Linked DNA regions of Tamandua tetradactyla. The protein of the gene in region 1 interacts with the protein of each later gene in a pairwise test. Links are inferred from orthologs where the notes say so. Each region holds a gene or a part of one and is shown on either strand. Other genes may lie near its edges.

What was found. The genes of interacting proteins can lie anywhere in the genome.
Region 2: the proteins of DMRTB1 (region 1) and RBFOX2 interact in a two-hybrid assay, tested with the Homo sapiens proteins (3 studies listed by BioGRID). The link is inferred for Tamandua tetradactyla from reciprocal best matches to the Homo sapiens genes DMRTB1 and RBFOX2.
Region 3: the proteins of DMRTB1 (region 1) and PKP2 interact in a two-hybrid assay, tested with the Homo sapiens proteins (2 studies listed by BioGRID). The link is inferred for Tamandua tetradactyla from reciprocal best matches to the Homo sapiens genes DMRTB1 and PKP2.

Annotation. Positions count from the first base shown.
Region 1 is NC_135328.1:168,179,783-168,187,343, forward strand, and holds the start of DMRTB1 (doublesex- and mab-3-related transcription factor B1), read right to left. Parts: upstream 3,005-7,561; 5' UTR 2,975-3,004; coding exon 2,329-2,974; intron 1-2,328.
Region 2 is NC_135333.1:28,467,133-28,474,313, forward strand, and holds the start of RBFOX2 (RNA binding protein fox-1 homolog 2), read right to left. Parts: upstream 3,016-7,181; 5' UTR 2,938-3,015; coding exon 2,755-2,937; intron 2,655-2,754; exon of another isoform or gene 1-2,654. UniProt on the Homo sapiens protein: RNA-binding protein that regulates alternative splicing events by binding to 5'-UGCAUGU-3' elements. Prevents binding of U2AF2 to the 3'-splice site.
Region 3 is NC_135333.1:96,246,265-96,253,633, forward strand, and holds the start of PKP2 (plakophilin-2), read right to left. Parts: upstream 3,016-7,369; 5' UTR 2,927-3,015; coding exon 2,704-2,926; intron 1-2,703. UniProt on the Homo sapiens protein: A component of desmosome cell-cell junctions which are required for positive regulation of cellular adhesion.

The DNA of each region.
Region 1 (7,561 bases):
ATCACATTACTGTCCAACCAAGGATAGCAGTGTAATAAACATTCATATGCATTTGCAAAGAACTCCCAAATCCATTACGTCTATGAACCTTGCTCCTCTTAAAACTCCACAACTATGTCCAACCACTCTTAGAAAAAGTTCTTAGCACAGTCTGTGCAGCACCATGGGGTCTGGTTCCTGCCTCCACTCCAGCCGTATCATAAACTGTAACCTCATTCATCGCAAGGCCTTTGCAGATGCTGTTCCCTGGGCTTGGAAGGCCTTATACCGTAGCTCCACTTTGCCTCCTTGTGTGCTCATCAAGTCCTATTCTTCCTTCAGACCTCAGTTAAATCATCAGTTATTATAGCTTCATGCATTTATTTGCATGATTCTTTGATTACATGCTGTCCCTCCCACTAGGACTACAAGATCCTTGAGTGCAGAGAATGTTGCTTCTTTCTTCATCATTAGTGTCTGTTGAGACTGTGACCCTGGGAAGGCAGCCTTCTCCTATAACTGCTGTTTCAGGTCTATCTTCCCCATCAGACAGCTGGTTTCTTGGGAAACCTCGATTTTCCTAGAATGCCCCAGAAGACAGAAATGGCCTTCAAAGAGTATCCAGACCAGTCTCAGTAGGGAGATACAGAGAGGAGAGAATGGCATAGAAAGAAGCAGTCTGCTCAAAGTTGAGCAGCCTTCCTCTCCAACCACCCCCCACCCCAGCCTCTGGACTCAGACCTGTGCTTTTCAACCATGTTGCTATAGGTAAGATACCGAGAAAACATATCCACACTAAAAAGAACCAGTTCTGAAATCCAAGAATGAGCTGGGACTCAGCATCAAGGGATTGAGAAAACCTTCTCGACCAAAAGGGACAGAGAAATGAGACAAAATAAAGTGTCAGTGGCTGAGAGATATCAGAATCGAGAGGTTATCCTGGAGGTTATTCTTATGCATTAGGCAGATATCACCTTTTTGGTTCAAGGTGTATTAAAGAGGCTGGAGGGAAGTACCTGAAACTATAGAGCTGTGTTCCAGTAGCCATGTTTCTTGAAGATGATTGTATAATGATATAGCTTTCACAGTGTGACTGTGTGATTGTGAAAATCTTGTGTCTGACACTCCTTGTATCTATGGTATGGACAGATGAGTAAGAAATAATGGATTAAAAATAATAGGGGGAACAAATGTTAAAATAAATTGAATAGATGGAAATACTAGCAGTCAGCGAGAGGGAGGGGTAAGGGGTATGGTATGTATGAGTTTTTTCTTTCTTTTTCCAGAGTGATGCAAATATTTTAAGAAATGATCATGGTGTTGAATATACAACTATGTGATGATATTGTGAGCCATTGACTGTAGGTGTATGGAATGTTTGTATGTTAAGAATGCTTATGTTTGTATGTTGTTTATCAATCAAAATATTTTTAAAAAAAGAACCTGTTCTGAAAGCCTCAAATCTATAAGTGACTTGAAATTATACTTTAATACTGAATGCTGTAAGATATCAGTAATAATGTAATTTATGCAAGGGTGAGGGACAAAAAAATTAAAGACAGTAACTTCTCAGTAAACCAACTGCTCCTCTCCAGTGGATGTAGGGGGCCGCGGGTAAAACCTTTTCTCACTCCCGCCCAAGAAAATGGAGGGAATGGGTGCGCAGGCGCATCAGGCCAGAATGCTTTTTTTTTTTGTCGGGCAGTCTTCTGGGAGGAACCTCAGCCCACCAGTAGGAGGGGTGGGTGCGCAGGCGCAGGTCCACCCACAGAGTAATAGGCGGGGTGGAAGGACTCGCAAGGCCTAGAAAAGAGCAGCAAGGGGTGCGCAGGTGCAGGTGCGTTATACCAGGGCCCTGCTAAGGACAGATCTTCAGGGCAGAGTCTCCAAACTACAAAAGGTTGCGCAGGAGCAGCCAGAATTGAGCCTGCCCACCGGCTGAAACGCTCTGGGGGAGGAGCAGCCAGTCCAAGAAAAAGGCGGGAAGAGGTGCGCAAGCGCAGTCGGACTGGTCTCCACAGGACGTCCCCACCGAGGAGTCACAGCTAAGCTGGCGTGGTAGCCATTTTTTTCTTGCAAGATGGAAAGGCAAAAACTGTCGCTAAACGTTAAAAGTCCTGTGGACCACTCATTCCTTTCTCTTTTTTTCTTTTTGCAAAAAGGCACCAACCCAAGCCCTGTTCAGAGAAAGATTTGTCAAAGCAAAGGCTACCTCTTTTCCCCACTTTCCCCCCCCAACTGCCTACATTGGCGGTTCCGGGCGGGCCTGGGAGCTCCCGGAGCAGGGAAACTACAGCCTGGAAAGGAACTGGCGGTGGGGCATGCCTGCACGGGGCCTGGGAATCTTACCGAAATCGGCGAATGGTGGGCTGGAAACGGGCCTCAGCAGCCTTGGCATCTCCAGTTGACCAGGGTATCCCCTGCCCGCGGCCTCCGCTTCGAACTGGGGTCCCACAGAACCCTGCATCGCCGCCCCGACTCCTTCATTCGGCCTCACGTGGCCGCGGCCTCCCAGAACCGGCTGGAAGGCGCTGGGGCCTGGGCTCGGGCCCGGCGGGGGCCTTTCAAGGAAGCGGGCGGCCGGAGGGCCGGGCTCTGCATTTCTCGCAGCGGAGGGCGGTGGCAGCGGGCAGAGGCTTGATCCGGGGACGGCGACCATGGCCCTGGAGGCAAGCTCCGGCCCCTGCGCGCCCAGGGCTATCTGCTCCTCCTCAGACGTCTCCTTCTTGAGCACCTTCTGCGCCGCCATTATCTTCTGGCGCTCGGTGATCAGATAGCACTTCTCGCAAAGGCACTGCTTCCAGCGGCATTTGCCTGCATGGCCCTTGACCGGCACCAGGAAGCCATGGTTCCGGCATCGGGAGCACTTCGGGGTACGCAGCATCTTGTCGGCCTGCTTGGTAGGGTCTGCTTGTACAACCTCCCCAGACGGTAGCTGCAGAGCGAGTGGAGCAAGGATGAGCGGCGCCCCAGAAGTCCTTGGTGCTGGGGACATTGGATACACTTGTAACAAAGCGGCTGGTGGTACGTCCCGGGAACTGCAGCAAGACCCTTGCAATTGCCCTCCCTTTTGGGGGGGATGCAAAATTTGGAGAGTCCCTGAATCTCTGCGCCTTGGGTAATTAGGTGCAAAGGTTGGGCTGAATACGTTTTTCATGGAATGCTATTGCATGCACGCCATCTGGGTTGTCTGAAGTCTCAGACATTTAATTTTCCAAAGTTCTGATTCCCGCCACCCCAGATAGAAGGTATTTTGCAACTTCAAATAAGGCGGAGTCATATTCAACGGTCCACAGATTTAAAACTCCAGAGGAATGTAGTGCTCTGTAAACCCATTCCAGTAGAAAAGCATTCTCACAGGAAAACCGTGTATCACCTCCCAAAAGCTGCTGCTTCTGCTGAATTTCATTTCTCTCCCCTGCAGAGAAGCAACCGGTCACAGTGTGATGCTTCCAGAATATTCTCAAGAGCTCGGTGCTGTGTGATGATTGCTCCAGGGTAATTCCCAGTTCTTAAAAGAGTCTTGCTGGTACAGGGATGCATTTCTGGAAGGTAGGATATTGCTGTGTTGATGCCTTCCAAAGTAAAACATTCTTAGGACATCTTAAAGTAATATAGTCTCGGGATATTCTACTAACTTGAATCCTGGTTTAGTTTTGCCTTGAATTTAGTGATCTCTGTAAACCAATCCAAATCTCAGGATACCTGAAAAGTGACACTCTGAGGTCTTTTGTTGTTGTTGTTTAGGTTTAAAAAAGAGAACAAGAGAAAGGGGCCATCAGTGCCTAGGTGACAGGGTCAGTCATATAATTATTTAAGGAGGTAGTTGTGGTTAATATATATATGCATATATTATATATATATATGGCCCCATAGGTAAAAAGCAGGCAAGCACTTTTTTTTTATTTCACCCAGTTCAGAATGTCTTAAGTTTTTCACTGATCTAGTCATTTGAAAATGTTACTTAAAATCTTGGCTTCAGTACTGCCACCAAAAAATCTGGGGCATAAGCTGCATAGTTTCATGATACTGCAGATTATAAGATCATTTTGTGCAATATCAAATTTAAATTGTGATATCAGATGATGATACTTTAAAAAATAACTACTCTCATTTACATTTCATGCTCGACTATCCAAGCTTTCTTCATTTTCTCATTAATGATTTAAAGAAAAATCCTGTTCAAAAAAAAGAAAAATCCCATTTAAAGCAAAGTATTTGAATTAACATATTTTATAGTCTTGTTAACTACAAAATGCTTCCATATTTACTTCATAGCTTTAGGGGCAAAATACACCCAAGTTGATGTGAATTGGCATAGTGCTTTGAGAACATTAATAAACAACATAATATCTTTTTAATCAGTAGTCACATAATAAGATGCAGAAACCCCAGGGTTGATATTGTAAACAAATCTAAGAAAAGAAAAAAGATTATTTCTTTATTCCCCCCCAAAGTCTCAATTTGTGTAGGTAAATTCCAGCAGAGCTTTATTTATTTCACTCCTGGAAATTCAGGAAAATTGATAGTTTTGTTTTATTTGGTTTGATAACTGAGGCTGATGATGAAATGAGATGTTGCTTTTTGTTTTTAATATATACATTTGTTGTTATTTAAAAGATGGGAACATGATGTAAAAGTGGAAAACTGGAAGTCAGAAAAACATGGGAGCAGAAAGCACACAGTAGACCCCTTCCTTCTCCACACCTAAATCTTAAAACATTTATGTTTTAAGAAAATCTGAATTACAGACAGTCATTTATAAAAGGACAGATTACAGTTGCTGAGAAATCACCGGTTTGCTAGAGAGTCTGGGGTAGTGATCATATCTGGCTCCCAACTTCAGGTATGGCTCCCTTTTCCCTTGGGAAAAAGTTTCCAAGTTTCCTATATAATTCCTCTTCACATCAGTTAATATGAGTACTTTTGGTATTGTTAATTCATTCATTTTAAAGAGCCTTGTATTACACAGTGTACATGGGTATCATCTATAATCATTAAATATTGCATGCATTGTAATGTTTCCCTACTGGTAGCACAGTAGGAGTAAGGAAGGGCTCTTTTGTCTATAGTATCCCTCCCCCAGCAGCTATAACCCATACATATATTGTGAGCATGAAAACTTTAATGAAGATTTTGTAAAGGAGATGGGAGAGGATTTACATTACACATACCATAGTAGATGCTTTGAAATCCTGCATTAGCATTTCTGTTATCTCAAAACCCTCCTCTGCTGTGCCATACCCAGTGAAGATATATTGATCTGTCCTTCCCCTGAAACGCAGTGCCCAGCATTGCTGACTCCTCTGGCCTTTCTTGATTTTTGTCAGCTTTCTGGGGATTAAGGCTGTTGCTATCTTATTTTTCTTTGTTCCTCGTCTGTTTAAAATTCCTAGCAGAGGTCAGATGAATCAATCATTGGTGCCCCAGAGTAAGGAGGAAAAACCTTGCCTAGCCCATAGTGGAAATTCATTAAATATTTGTTGCATATACAAATAAATCCTGCCTCCCTCTTCTGCCGAAGCCAAAGTTATCTCCTCCCTAATTTGCACAGTAAATCAGCTTGGTTTCAGCAGTTTTCCCCAAACATTATACTAGTGTTCAGCAAAATAGAGAGCCCACAGTGACCTCTTTCCTAACATAACAAGATTGGGGTATCAACTTTGATTCCTTGAGCTCACCCCACACCCTTATATCCCTAGTGGTGTAATAATAGTAAAAGTATTTATTGGTGCCAGGAATTCTTAAGTTCTTTATGTATAGTAATTTTTATAATTTTCATACTCTTTAAGGTAGTTACCACAGTATTGCCTTTGTTTTGCACATGAAGAAACTGAGGCCTAGAGAAGTTGAGTAACTTGCCCAAGATTTCACAGCCAGTAAGTGACAGATTCAAAACCAGGAAATCTGACCTTAAAGTTCACGCTCTTAACCAGATATTTGCTAACCAAATATTTCTTCTAAACAAGTGCTCTCCCCAAGAAAGCTTTGGTGATGAGTAGAAGTGTTCATCTTAGTCTAAACTCATTACAATTGAGGCAAAAGTAGTTGAAGGTGGTAGCAACTTGGGGAAACTTCCTAGGATATTCCACTGCTTTACTCCACCCATAGCCAATATGTATTGAGTGCCAGCTGTGGACTAAGGATAAAGGACAGGGAAGTAAATTTAAAAAAAAAAAAAAAAAAAAAGAGGATCCTTGCTGTTCTAGTTTGTAAGCTGCCAGTATGCAATATACCAGAAACAGAACAGCTTTTATAAGGGAGAATTTATTAAGTTTTAAGTTTATAGTTCTAAGGCAGTGAAAATGTCCCAATTAAAGCAAGTCTATACAAATATTCAAATTAAGATATCTAGAGAAAGATACCTTGGTTCAAGAAAGCCGATGACATTCAGGGTTTCTCCCTCAGTTGAAAGGCACATGGTGAACATGGCGACTTCTGCTAGCTTTCTCTCCAGGCTTCTTGTTTCCTGAAGCTTCCCCAGGGGCATTTTCTTTCTTCATCTCTGAAGATCTCTGGCTGCGTGGGCTCCCTTGGTTCTCATGGGTCTGTTGCTCTAAAGGTTTTTCCAAAATCGTTCCATCTTAAAGGGCTCCAGTAAGCAACCTCATCTTCAGTGGGTGGAGACACACCTCCATGGAAATCTTCTAATCAAAGGTTACCACCTACAATTGGGTGGGTCACATCTTTGCGGAGATAATCTAATCACATGCAGTGCTGAATAGGGATTAAAAGAAACAGCTGCCTCCCCAAGATAAATCAGGATTAAAACATGGCTTTTGTGGGGTACATAATCCTTTCAAACCAACATACTTGCCTTTAGGCATACATTCTAGCTGTCAATACAGACAGTAAACAATAATTTCAGTATGATGAAAGCAGGGGGAATGGTGGAGTGGCAAGGAGCCCAGGATGCTTTCAGAGCCAATATGGAGGCTCTAACCAGGTTTGAGAGACCAAGGAAGACTCCCAGAGGGACTGATTGCTAAGCTGAGGCCCAGAGGAAGAGTAGGAATTAGCTAGCTACAGAAGCAGGAGAAGTATGTCTGGGGCAGAAAGAACATGTTTGAAGGCCTGCAGCATGGCTGTCATACAGCAAAGTTGGGAGACTGGGGAGAGAGGAGGTGGAGAGATAGGTAGCCGTTAGATCATGGAGGGAGTCCTTGGGGCACATGATAGGCATCACTTATCTAAGACTGAAGAGAGAAGAGACATGGAAGAGCCAGAAAACCGGAACCCACAGATCCAGATATCTAGTTCCTGCTCTTGGTTCTTCTCTCAGAAGCCAGGGATGTTAAGTGGGGCAATAAGTAATTAGGACTTGGCATAGGTATTGCAAGATTAAAATGGTGTTGAATGGGATTTTCTTTTGGGTGGTTGTTCCATGTGGGATACACACTCAAGGCTAGCCACGAACCTGAGCCAGCACTGTGAGCTAGGCAAGGGTTTTTCTCCTCACCCTAGGACACTATTGATTGGTTCATCTGACCTTTCCTAGGAATTTTAAGCAGACAGGGACAAAGCAGTGATGGAAGACAAAGGAGTAAGAGAAAAATAAGAGAAGGGAGAATAGCAGTCGAAT
Region 2 (7,181 bases), on another chromosome or scaffold:
ATTCAAACATCACCTATTGGAGAGACCTTTCTTGACCATCTCTCCCTCATTCTCTATCCCTTTACCTGCTTTATTTTTCTTTTTAGGATTTACTACCACCTAACTAATAAAAGTTGTTGATTTATTTATTATCTATCTCCTCCCATTAGAATATTAGTTCCATGAGAGCAGGGTCTTTGATTCGTTCACTTCCATGTCTCCTAGGTATAAAACCAGAACCTGGCACACAGCAGCTGTTCAATAACATTAGTTGACTGAATAAATGAATAATAATTATCCCTTCACTATTATCAGAATGGTATCAGAAAATCCTAGAAGTGTAGTACTAGGCTTAAACATCATCTTTTCATAAATATTATTTCTTCTTTATTATATCTCAGTTTCAAACTTCTCACCAAAGCTTTCTTGACCATGTCTTTCTCCTGGACCCAGTGGACACCATAAATCCTCTGTACCCTTTGGCTCTAAATTATGCAATATCATGTGATATAGCTATCCTGTGATATCTCTACTCCTGCTCCTCTGGAACATTAAAAAGAAAACCATATATACCATTTTTTTAACGTTCACCCATTTAGTCTCGCAATCTAGACAGAAAACTTGACATATTTTTTGGAAAGTAATTTAGAAATCATTCTGTACAAACACTTTATTTTACAAGGAAAAAAGAAGTCCCCAACAAAGAGATCTTTACAAAACCATGCTAGTTGAAGGTAAGGTGCTACATCAACGATGATTTGAAAATCTGTGTGACACATTGCAATGGGACTGCATATTGAGAATGTGCGAAGTGAAAAATAAAGAACAGCCACAAATACCAGAGAGAAAAAAAGGATCTCTGTGGAATAGTTCTAAGTTGCCCATTTGTGCCCAAAGGACTTAATCCACTCCTTCCCCTGTATACCCCTAAAGGTCCTACAATACTCCATTTCTCAATACTATTGTCCTTAGCCACTTTGAAAGCAGCCGGCCAATAATAAGCTCTGGGAGGAAAGGGGAGGAAGGAGATTCCCCCTATTAACTATGATTGATAGAAACAATAAAAGAATACATACATTCATGAATGGACACATCAAGCAAAACATGCTCACCAGGACCCACATCCAGTGTCCCCCAACTTACCATCCAATGTTAATCCACCTCACCTTAAGTCTCCCCATATTCCTCTCTATTATTTTCCATGGTCCTGAGCTTTTACTTCTCACAATCCCTTTGCCTGACAAAATTCTAATGGGCAACAAAAGCAGGCACACAAAACAAACGAATTCAAAAATAAACACCAAGAGAGTCACTATATCCAAACCAAAAGAAGTAAAAATACTTCTGCAAAGAAGAAGCCTCTGCAAAGAAGACCAAGAAGCATACAGCAACCATGCCAGGCCTAAGTACAGCTCCTTCACCAACACAGGAAGTCAGGCAGAGCCTTGAAAAGCAGGGAGGAAAACACAGGAAGTCTTTTAGCATTGCACAGATTTCCAAGAGTAGTTAAATGAAGAGACACAGGAATAGGAATAAGAATACCAGGGTAAAGTAATATTCTAGCTTTACCATCAGCTAACTGATACCTTTAGGTAAGTTGCTAGTTGTCTCTCTGGACTTACGATTTCCCATCTATAAAATGAGGTGGTCAAAATATTTTGGGACTTGAATCTTCATAAACAATTTTAAAAAGATGAAAACTATTGACGCTCTCCCCCCCAAAAAAGTATACGTACACTATTTTGCAAAGGATTCTTCAATCTATCCAGGGTAAGAACCCCTGGAAAAGATGATGGTTCTGGTTCCTTCTAATCGCTAACATTCTATGATTCTAAGAGAATTAGGCAGTTCTCTAAACAATCGTTGGTACCTGAGCCCCATCATTTCAAAGCAAGTATTTTCTGAATGGAGACCAAATACTAAGACCTACAAAGACACTGACATCGTCACTCCATTTCCCATTTCTAAATCAACTAGCTTATCCTCGAGTCCACAACTCAGAATCCAGCCTTCTAACAGTCCTATAAATTTTCTTTTATATCCTCAGGGTACTAAAGACCTTTCACGTGTCCTGGCTATGTAGGATGCAATTGGCAAAGCACAGCAGAAGCATTTCTTGTGTCTCTCTTCAGGTTCATTAACATGCTCCACGAAGTTAACGAGGCTTAGTATCACAGTGTCCCCACAACACTACCAAACTCCTTGCACTTCACACTCGCTGAGTAACTGATTTAACCCACAATCTAAGCCACATCCCCTTTCGGCTCTCTCTAGGAGTTTTCTCGCCTTTCACTCACCTCCTTCAAAAGCCTCTCCCCAGCCTCATCCCAGTATGTGTCAAGGGCTGCCAAAAACGTACTCCTCCTTTTCGGGAGGTTTTCCACCCCTGCCCCCTCGTCCTCGATTCAGCCCAGCGGCTCTCCTCTAGGCAAAAGACCCAGGCTTTCCGGCTTTCACTCCACCCTAGCAAACTATGAAAAATGGAATCCATCTCAACCATGTTCTGGATTTCCCCAAAAAACCTATTCCCTCGTCAGTCTCCTCGTCCCCTCAGGAATAAGGACTCTCCAGGGCACACCAGGATCCTACTGCACCCTTCGCCTCCAAGCCAGAGCTCGCCCCACCTTCCAAACAGGCCTCGACCGGCCCCCCTCCCACCTCCAGCTCAAGACCCCCGAAAGCCCTCCTCCTCTCCAAGCCCCGGGAGCCTGGAGCCACCCCTCAGGTCCCACTCCGCACACCCACGATAACGGGGTGCCCGTCCCGCGCGGTCACCTGCATCCCGCCGCCGTCGGCAGCCGCCTCCTCTGTGCGCGGCCGCTTGCTCAGGCCAGGCTCGGCTCCGTCTCCTCCCCCTCCGGTCACCGGCAGCTCCAGCTCCGACTCCCGCTTCATCCCCCGGGCAGCGGCACCCGGCCCGAGCTGAGGCGGCTGCTGCGGCTGGGCGCCTTCCGCCATCCGCCCGCGCCCCCCTCGCCTCCGGGAGCCGGGCGACCCGCGACAGGCCACCTCCCCCTGGGCCTCGGCCCCGACTGTCGCGACAGGCGGGCGCGCGCCTGCCCCCGCCCCCCTCGCGTGCGTGCGTGCGTGCGCGCGGGCAGGCCGGCGCCCCTCTGCGGCTCGCGGTCGCGGCTTCCCGCTCGCAGGCTCCGCGGCTCGCTGCCCCGCGCCCTGCTCCGGGCCGCTCGCGGCTCGCCGCGGGCACTCGCTCGCCGCCCACCAACACGCTCGCAACACCGCTCCTGGCCCGCCGCGCCGCCCCGCCTCTCACACTCACGAAGCTTGCCCACCGGCCCGCACCCGCTCACTCACACTCTCCCTCGCACGCCTCGCGGAGGGAGGAAGGGGGCGGTCCGGCTCGCCGAGGCGTGGGGAGGGGTGTTTATTTGGGGGGAGGAGGGGCTCGAGCTGACTGGCCGGGATGCTCCGACCCGCCACTGTGGCAGCTCCGGGAAGGCGGGGAGAGAGAAAGAAGGAGGGAGGGACCTGGATGTAGGACTCCAGCCCGCGCGGGAGGCTATGGCTGGGGCGGCGGCGGCGGCGGCGGCGGCGGCGGCCCAGTCCACGAGGGGGCGGGACCAGTGCTTCTCGGCAATCTCCGTCGCCCTCGCCCCGGCCGCCCGAGGAAAACCGGAAATAGCTCGGGGAAATTCGGGAATCTCCGGTACGGGTGAGGAACGATCTTGGAGGTACAGGGAGGCTGGAGTCGTATCTGCGCGAAGGGGCCAGAGTCTTCCCTTTAGGGGCGGGGCCTCAGCTTAAGGCAGGTGGGGCTTGAGAGACCCGTAGGCCGGCTAGCGCTGCTCTCTAGTAGGACTAGTGCAGAGATTCGTGACCTCAGTTCTCCGGTTTCGCCACACTGGTTCCCTAGGAAAGAAGGGCGTTCTGTGGGAGAAGGCTCTTAGCCTGCTGCCTCTCCCTTAGAAGAATGAGACTCTCCGGTTGGAAGGTCAAGGAATAAGACCATCACTACATGGCTCTCCCCAGTTCTGAGAGCATTTACTCTAATAACAAATTTCATATTCCGGATAATCATAAAAATACCTGTTGTTTCTAAGAGCATAACAGTTTGCACAATGCGTTCATAGACCCGATATAGTGATTACAGGCAGAGTAGTTGTCACGATCACAGTTTCGTTGATGACGCATCTGAAGGTTGGTTAAGTCCTGCAGCTAAAAAGCGGCAGATCCTAAGACACCAGGTCATATTCTTTCGCTATACCTGGCTGCCTGCACTTTATTGCTTATCAACTTTACGCAATTAGAGGTATCTGTACAATAGCATCTCTCTTCTACCAGACTGTAAAGACCAGGACAGCATCTATTTTTCCAGGGTTGCCTATTGTGTCCTCTACTTTACAGGTTTACAATGAACCTAACTTAAACAAGTTATTTCACCTCTTTGGACCCCAGCTGCATGATTTGGCCTTCCTCCCCACCCTCCCCACTCACCCAGCCCCAGGACATTTGTCAATGTCTGGAGACATTTTTGGTTGTTAAATTGGGTGCTGCTGGCATCTAATAGGTAGAAGTCAAGTATGTTGCTTGACATCATCAAGACAGTACCCACAACAAAGGCTTATCCGTCCCAAAATTATCCAGCCAAGGTTGAGAAACTCTGGGTTTCCAGATGGGTCATTTCCAGATGGGTCTATAATTTGGCCTTTGGACTTGGGTTTAAACCTGGCTAATTGTGGAATCGTAGAGGGCTGGTAAAGTTTCCTGTTTTGGAGTCACACCAACCCAGGTTTGAACTGGGCCTTAGGACCCAGTGCCCATGTATTTTTGCAACTAAAAAGTTCTATGTAGGAGGAATTAAGGCCTCCAATGTGGGAGGAAGGAATGGAGGACTTGTCTTGAACCTGTGTTGTCACAGTAAACACATTGTTTTACTAAGGTTGTGTGTTATGGATCGATAACAACAGCCAAGATTTAGTTCTGCTGCTTAAAAACAAGGAAGCCTGGTGAAAATGACTTAACCTCTCAGTTTCATTTGAAAATTAAGATAATGATAGTATCTCCCTCAAAGAATTATTGTGAGGATTAAATGAGATATCACATATTAAGAACTTCAAACAGACGTGATCTATAGTGAACATTCATTAAATATTAACTATTATTATTCCCATTATTATTTTATTCACACTTTAAATGACAGTGAAAAAAATGCCCATTGTGAAAATCAAAGACTATGACCATCACTGTTTTTGTTTTGTTTTAATTATATGAGGGGGCTTGGGTGGGGCCACTAGAGATTGGGGTGGGGTGAACAAAGCTTCCCTTGGTGCAACTACTATGTTGGGCAGTTTATTTTCAATAAACTTTCAAATGCTCGTTTGTAAGATGGCAATTATAATAGTCACATTGTTGTTAAATAAAACAAGTACAAGTCTTAGCACACAGCCTACCATATAATAACTGTTTAATAGGTGGTAATTATTTATCATATTATTTATTTAGTGTTGCTAAGCTTCTGGCCAGGGGGCCAGGGGGTTAGAAATAAAAGCCCAGACATGTCTTTATATGGTCATTTGGGCCATCAAGTTGGAAGTTCAAGTGCCTAAAAATTTGTACTTGAGTTGAATTAGACATCCCCATTCTAAGTCAGGGGTCTTCTGTTGACAGTACCCTAGAGCAGATGGGCCTGATCCCATCCAACTAAGTATTATATCTTTGAAGAAAAATCAGGATGTTTCCTGGTGGTCTGTGAAACAATGATGGATTTTTTTTTTAAACCTAGAGACATCAATGGTTGGTTTTCTGAAAATTTTACTTACTGAACTGGTGCCTTAAGAATTCTTTTTCCCTTTTTCCTTGTTGCCTCAATTTTAAATTGGTTTGTGAAACTTACTGCACAAACACAGGCTTTATAATGATTATATGGATACTTTATTTAAATATGCCTACGGTTAAGCTAAGTAAGATATACATTTTTGGTGGTTCTAAGTGTATTTGTATTCTTAAATTTAAAAAAATTAACAAAAGAAAAACACTTCCAAAAAAAAAGAATTCTTCTCCCCTCCCTACCTTCTTACCAAAATACTGAAATCTAAATGATGCTAAGTCCTTCCTGAGCTGCCCAATAACCCTGCAAGAAATGAGACTTACTATCAGGACTGCCTATGACTCAAATTATTATGTTATTCAAGTAGCTCTCAAATCCCTAAGAAATAGAGCAATGCAGTATAGAAATGTTTGAATGACCAGGCAAAACAAAGGGAAAATGGAGTCTGCCCCATAAACAAACATTAAGAAAATGGAGAATAGAAGCCTACAATAGTGCAAGAGGCCATGTGTGTCCAGAGCAGCACAATGACCAATATCATTTCTTTTATGTAAATCTGAAACTACCTGTTTAAAGACAGGTGCCTATAAAATATTAAAGGGGAAGAGACAAAACATATTTCCTAGAAAGAATTTCTAGCTGCAAAAACGACTACAGTGATAACATTTATTTGAGAAATATGGGCACGTGTCTAGGATATCATGGTACCATAAAATTTATTCACAGTCTAGGGAAGGAAGAGATGAACAAATAAAAAAAAAAAAACAGTTGCAATGCATCATGGTAAGTTGCTTATCCCTCCTAGTGGTCAAGAACACGGACTCTTGTGTCAAATAGACATGGGTTAGATCTGACCTCATATACCTGAGCTCAGACAAAATCCTTAGCCTCTCTGAGGCCCAGCTTCTACATTTGTTTGACAGGCACTGATAGCAGCCAGCCCATTATCTATTCTCTTCTTAATTCCTTATTATTGAAACCCCATTTGTGTTCAGGGCAGGAGTCTGCCAGTTTACGACTATTGAATTCCCAAGCTTCCTATTAGCTAAGTGTGGCCATGTAACACAGCTCTGGCCTTGGAGGTGTAAGTAGAAGTCACTGAAGCTGGTAACTGTTCCTAATTAATAAGAAAGACCATGGGAAGAAAAGGCTCTTTGCTTTTTGCCCTTAATCCTTTGCCTCTTGCCTTTCACCCTTCCTTCTTCCTGGAACACAGACTGGAAAAACAGCAGACATCTTTTCTCCATGAGGTCAAGAGCTCGTACTAAGAATGGTATTGCAGAGCCTTCATAACAGCCTAAGTCTGCCTACGTCTAATTTATTGTTGTATGAGAAAAATAAGTTCCCATTTGATTGAGCCTCTGTAGGTAGTTTTCCACATGCAGCCAAACTCAACTTCTAACTGATAGAATCTGTA
Region 3 (7,369 bases), on another chromosome or scaffold:
GGTATATTTCAGCATGCTGGGGAGCTGCTGCTGTAATCAAAATATTTTAAACACATTGTTCCTTACTTGAAAGAGTCACTCAAGTAGTTGCTCTCAGCATTAGGACAGAAGCATTTGTTCTATCCTGCCAACTCTGTGAACTGTGAAATATTCAAGCTGTTTCCCTCTTAAAATGTTCTTCTTCCAACCATCTCCCCAGATCCAAACCTACTGAACTTTTTGAGATCTAAAACACCATCTCCTCTACAAAGCTTTCCAAAATTCCCTTCATCTACAAGTAACTCATACTCCCAAACTCCGTCCTGCGTTAGCATTTCTTCTTTTTTCATCGCTTACCACTTTATGTGTGGGTTATATTTATTTGGGTTGAAAATGAAGGCTTCCTTCCTCAGACTTTAAATCCTGGCTTTAAAATCAGCAGTCTATGTTCAATTCAGTGCTTGCACAGTGCCCTATATGATGAATATCCTCAATCGACAGTTGCTGAATTCACCAAGAGGCTGATGTGCTATATTGTAAAGAGGACAGACTATGCGTGGGTTTGGGACTGAGCTCCAGTTTGTTGAAAGAAATACCTAGATCAAATCTAAGCACCTTTAATTGTTCATTGTATGACTGTGTGTCTTGGTTTCTTCATATGTGAAATGGATCCCCATATCTATCTTATATAATTGTTTCAAGGTTATAATAAAACCCTAGTAAAGTTAGAGAGACCACATATGACTGATGGTGTTAAGTGGCATGTAGGAAAATAGAGGCAGGGTACGTGGGATGGGGAAAGAAGAGTGTTAAAGAGGGGAATGCAGGGTTATCAATGAAGACTGATTCATTAGTAAAATAAAAAATTCATCAATATATAAAAATAAAGAAACCATTAAGGAAAAGGTAAAACCAATTTTAAAAGGTCATTCCTCAGGGTTAAAGAGCCCTAAAATGTAAAGAATTAAATAACTTTGGCAGAGTTACCCCTCAACCTTACCTTAACTATTACATCTTTGGCTACAATATTCACTGAGATAAAATAAAAATAAAAAAAGAGTCAGGTAAGGTCCTTTGGAATTGCACAGCAGAAAGGAAATGTGGTATAAAAGAAAACTGACTAGGGCGTGGTTGGTAGGACTGACCAGAGGTGTCACAGAGAGACTTAAGGTCTAATAAATCCCACTTTTATATTAATAATAAAAAACCTAACTACATAAGTCATGAATAGTTAAAAAAAAAACTCAGGTTCAGGCATTTAAATATGAACTCTGTCACTTACTATCTGTGGGAATTCAAGTGTTATGTAAGTGCTTACTATCCTCATCTGTAAAATGGTGATTTCAAATACCCACAAGTTTTTTTTTTTTGAAAACTTTAATAAAATGAATGCAAACCACATAGCCCAATTCTTGGCACAAAACAGGCACTGAATAATGTTAGGTATTAACATTAAACATCGTTTTCTTAATTTCTCAAGTTTTTACATACTAACTGCCTGATCCTTCAGGATTCTTTTCATAAACTGAAAACAGTACAGTCACCCAGATTCTGCTGTTTTAAACCTGTGATCTGTCTTCTAATGGGTCCTGGGTTCTTCACTGCCCAAATGACTTCTTAGGGAAACAAAAATCACAGGAAACACACTCATTTCCCAATCTAATTAATTGTTCAATATCTTTCCTCTTCTATTTTCTTTTATAAGCCTATAGTACTTTCATAATAAAAATATATTAAACAATTAAGATAAGAGTTACTGTATCACTCTGACCGCCTTACTCTGGAAGGGGAGAAAACGATGTACAATGTTCTCTAATCTTCACAAACAAATGGCCTGTCATCTTCTTCTACTTCTCTTGTCAATCACTAAAATAATTTTTTTTTAACCCCTTTCACCTCCGGGTTTAATTTTTCCTAGGGACCAGCCCAGCCCCAGGGTGCGCAGAGGGCGGGGAGGCAGTGCTCACAAGCCAGGCGCAGGGAGGCAACGAGGCTGCTGTGGCCAGCCCAATTCCCCTTCCTCCTCCTTTTCTTCCGCAGGGCGCTGTGGTCACTCCCCGTGCCAAAGCCTCCTACCCAATTTGTTCCCTTTGTAGATTCACCCTCGCCCCGTACACTAGGCGGAGAACCCCCAAGCACCTGGGCAACGCACCACAATCAAACTGAGTTGTAGGAGCAGCAGTACTTCTTATGTACTTTCACGTGGCCTTTTTTTTTTTTTCTTCAGGATTTTGGAGGCGGGGAGCGGGGGACGGGTCACAAACTCTTTAAAAAATCCAATAAAAGCTAAGGGCGCTTTCTACTAGAAAAATGACCTCACCAAAATTGTGTATAGACTTTCAGAGTGTTATATAGACCCCCTAAGCCTTCAGGTTAAATCCCCGCCCTGTACCCGCTGGGGATTGGGGAGTGAACGCAGGACACGGGAGAGGCGAAGAGAGTGGACTGAATTCTTTAATGGATACATTACATGTGCATTTAATATGTGTAGATACATACATGAAAAAGCTAAGAGATTACGGGGAAAAAAAGAGTGCTTTCTCCAACTACGCTGTTCTGACTCCGGAGTCGCCAAGGGTCATACAAAGGAGCCGCGACCAACAGGTGGGGACCCCCACCAGGTTCCGCACCCCCAATAAGCAACAGGCCGATGAGGGTGAGGAGGGACAGAAGGAAGGGGCGAGGGCCAGGGTCCGCGCAGAGGGATGGCCCGGCTGCACTCACCGTTGCCCAAGGAGTTCCGGCCCTTCCGGGCCAGGGTCTGCTGCACCTGCTCCTGGATCCGCAGGCTCTTGACCGCCTGGCCACTAAGGCCGCTGTTCCCCGCCAGCTTCAGCTTGGCCTCGGAGGGCAGGGCCAGGCTGGAGCTGTCCAGTTGCCCCAAAATCTGCTGGCCCAAGACAGTCCGGATGTAGCCGCACTCAGCCGGGGAGCCGGGGGCTGCCATGGGGCCGGAGAGGCGACCGATCCGCTCGCCTGCCGTTGTACCTGCGGGCGAAGCCGCGGCGGATCCACGAGAGCAGCTCGATCCCGGTCCCGCCCTCTGGTCCCGCCCCGTTGCCGCCTCCCGCGCTGCTGTGCGGCGTGGACTGGGGGATAGCGCGGCCTCTGGATCCCGGCGCCCAGGCTGGAGTGAGACGGTGCAGCTTCGACCAGATGCGCGCACTCGGGCCGTGAGCGGGAGCAGGAGCGAGGTCGGCGGCGCGCGCGGACACCTGGCGAGATGGCCCGCCAGCGCAAAGGCGCGGAGGCGCGGAGGCGCGGAGGCGGGGAGCCGGGCGCCGCCTGCCCAGGTTCTAAGCACACACTAGGCGTCTTCTCGGATCCGCCTGCCAGGGGCGCGCCCCATTCAGATTAATTTACTCGGCCTTGGCCCAGCCTCTGCAAATGATGTGATTTCCGTTTGATTGAGGCCTCCGGGCAGGTGCGCCCTGAAAGTCACTTCTGTTCTTCGACTGAGGTTTGCTGCCTCTGGGATCCCCGAGTGAGCGGTTTATCTGGTTAGTCATGCTCTGCCAGACTGTTCGAAACGTTTCGTTTTCTGGACCTGGGGGTGAGAAAGACCTGGTTGGTCAAGTGCAAAGGGCAGTACAAGGGGAAATTTGCCAAGAAGATGAAATGCGTGAAATAAAAGACTTTTCAGAAGTTTTTCTTTTTCTTAGTACAAACTTAAAGGACGCCGTGCTTTTTACACAGCTGCAGTCCCAGAAACATATGTTCTTTTCATTGAGAGCTTCTGTTTTCTCTTGCAGAAACACAAATTGTACCCAGTACACACTTTCTCACCCACTCCTCTTATGAACACACCCACGCAGAGAAACTCCAATAAGAGGCAATACGGAAGAGTAGACTTTTAATTAGGCGATACTTCTTAATAGCCCTGCTAATGTTGATCAAGGCAATGTTCATGACAGGCTTTTTGTAAGGGGTGGGGCTCATGGAAGGCACCTCTAATTTTCATTGCATCTTCCACATCTGATATTTATCATGCTATTAATTATTTTTCACACGCAGCGCATGACTCAGAACTTCAGAGTTAAGCTCAACAGAAGGGGTCCTTGACCTCAAAGTTTACCAGTCTCAGCCACTCGACATGAGTTTTCTCTTTGGACTTGAGAGGCAGAAAGAAAAACATCTTTCCTCAGTACTAAGTAGGACAATCTTCCTTTGATTGCTTAGAATTGACCATCCTTTGCATGTTCACTTTCCCTAAAATCACTCAATTGCTGAAAAACTCCACTTATTCAAGTTTGGAGTGGCTGGAGAACCCAGCTTTCCTCTTCCTCATTTTCCCACCCAGACCTTCTACCCTTAGACAAACACTTAATGTGCAGGTGGTACCTGGCCTCTGTTTTTACATGAGCTTCCGGAGAGTGAGGAGGAAAGGGCTAGAAGCCTGAACAACCAAATGGTGACAATTCTGTCACCTTTTCTCAGCATGGCCTTAGCCATGTGGAATATACAGCTTCACTGGGAGCCATGTGGATAGTGGGTCTTGGAAGATGGTTCCCATCCCAGCAAGCCCAATCTTTAGATAAATTGCCACCTTTTCAAAAGCTCAATTATTTGGCCAGGTATAAACATCCAACCCTGATGCTGAGATATAGCTTAGGAAGAGAGGGGTGAGAGGGAAGGGGAAAGTGCTAATAAAGATTTCCAACAACAAACTTGTTTCCTGTCCTCCTCTGCATTCCTTACGTTTATTCTTGCCTCTTTATCTTTGAAAGGTGATTTCAGGGTCTGCTGGGACTTCTCATTTGTCTGTGAGCTCTGTCTCCATCTAGATCTCTTACCTGGCTTTATTTCATTTCATTTATTTTTTATTTTTATTAATAAAACCAACATACAATATGAACATTATTTTTTATCACACAGTTGTATATTCATCATCATGATCATTTTTAAAAACATTTGCATCAATTCAGAAAAAGAAATAAAAATAAAACTGAAAAAAAATTCATACATACCATACCCCTTACCCCTCCCATTCATTGATCGCTAGTATTGCAATCTACTAAATTTATTTTGACATTTGTTCCCCTATTATTCATTTATTTTTAATCCATATGTTTTACTCATCTGTCCATAAGGTAGATAAAAGAAGCATCAGACACAAGGTTTTCACATCACACAGTCAGGTTGCGAAAGCTATATCATTATACAATCATCTTCAAGAAACATGGCTACTGGAACACAGCTCTACATTTTCAGACCGGGCTTTATTTTAATCAGTTAGACTTCATTTATATTTTTCTCCCCAATTATTTTTTTCTTTTTAAGTGTGATATTGTATTGGATTATCCTATGAGGTGTGTACTGATACTGAGCATGTGGAAACATTATCACTAGGTAGATAGGTGAGTTGGCAGTAGGAGAATGGTTAAAAATAGAGCTTTTAAGCCAGGAGGATCTGGGTTCAAATTATAGCTATCTTTTGGAAATAATGGAGCTGTAAGCTAGTTTCTTTACATTTTTTTAAGCTGTAAAAGTTTTCTTATTTGTAAAATGGGAGCAATAAAAGTGTCTACCCTATAGTGCTGTTGTGAACACTAAACAACGAGTGGCACATAAGTGTACAGTAAATAATTGTTCAATGATCTTTGACACATCTCCCAGAGATCTGCTTTCAGACTCCCTTACCCCTTCAGGTCTCTGCTTAAATGTCAATGCATCAACTAAGTGTGACCCTTTCACATGCACACAGTCACTCACTATCTCCTTTCTCTGCTTAATTTTTCTCCATAGTACTTATCACAATTGCTTTATGTTTTACTAATTGAATTGTTGACTGTTTTGCTCCTGGAATATAAAGCTCCATGAAAGCAGGGATTTTTGTTTTGTTCACTGCTGCCCTCTGGGACCCAGAATAGTACACATAGTAGACAATGGATATCTGCTGAATGAATGAATTAATAAATGATTAATGAATAAAATCACTTAGTACATTGTATAGTATATAATATATGTTCAACGACTGTTAGTATTATTTAAGCACTTATACTTTTTTGGTAACTTTTTACCATCTTTTAAAAAGTTACATAGATATTACATATTCTAGATCATAAATTAAAAACAAACTAAAGCAAAATGAAGTTTTAAATTTTCAAATACCTACAGAATTCAATAGTTTCAGGAGAATGATCTCTTTGAAATAAGATAAACATATAAACCATTAAAAAGAGCCCTTTGGAGTGGGAATCCCGTTGCAGTAACAATTGTTAATCACTGGGTGAGGAAGTATCAGTTTTCTGGCAATGTGCCCATAAAAGTTATCTAGATATGCTTCTATTCCAACTGAGTGCAGGCCCTGTCATGTCCTCTGCATTTCCTGGGAATGCTGCCTAGCCGACTTCCTAAATTGTGAGCAAGCCCTGAGATAACAGTTAAAGGAAGCATTCTAACATCCTAGCCAACAAAATGAAGCAGGGAAATAAAATGCTGTGAATACTTTTGTAGTATTCAGTTGTTCTAATATCATCTATTTTTTGGTGTTTAGGTTCAGCTTTGAAAACTTTCTTTTGCTTTTCACTAATCAACAGAATGTATTTAAAAAAAGGAAAACCACAGGAATGTTGAAGTGGAATGTAAATAACAGATAACTGAATTGAGACTACAAATACTTCTACTGCTAACCTATAATAAAGATTCAGAAATTCTTGGATTTTAAACTTGTGTTTTTATCTGATTTACACACTATAGCCTTGAAGCATTAATGTTTCTTTGTTTTCAAATCTATAGTTAGGGTTTCCTTAGAGTAATCTTTATTTTCTTTAGCCATATACAAATTCCAATGTGGGTAATTCAATATACTAAATATTCAGTAAATTACTAGAAGATCAAATACAGAATAACTTTTAGAGCAGAAATCATTTTAATGGAGATAATTGGAGAATATTAGTGGCACCCAAACTCTTTGATTCGTATTAAAAAGGAACTCGAACACATTTCCCTGAGTGTCTTTGCTCATGAAATATTTTACTGCTACTATTTCTAGGCTATGAATAGCTACTGCTTTTAAAAATATTTCCTAAATTAGTGCAAGGAAACTGGCAGATAGAAAAGTTAAAGTAAACCTTAGAGTTGTTTCCTCTTTTAGTAAATGTATATGTTGCCAAGACAATCGGTCGCAGTTTTATCCTGAGCCATGTGTAATGAAGCTGTGAGCTGGGAAAGGAAGCTATGAACACGTAGTGCTGAAAAACTCATGCCGAGAGGGTCTTTCAACAGCAGTGCGGATTGAGGTGTTTATGTTAATTCACATGTTCATTTTGCCTGCTATTCTGGGTGCATTGTGAGTGTGTGGGTCTGAAACCTTTGAAAATGCAGTGTGGGAGGTGGAAACTAGGTGGGCAACTACAAGGGCTGGCAATCAGCAGTTTGTGCATAGTCA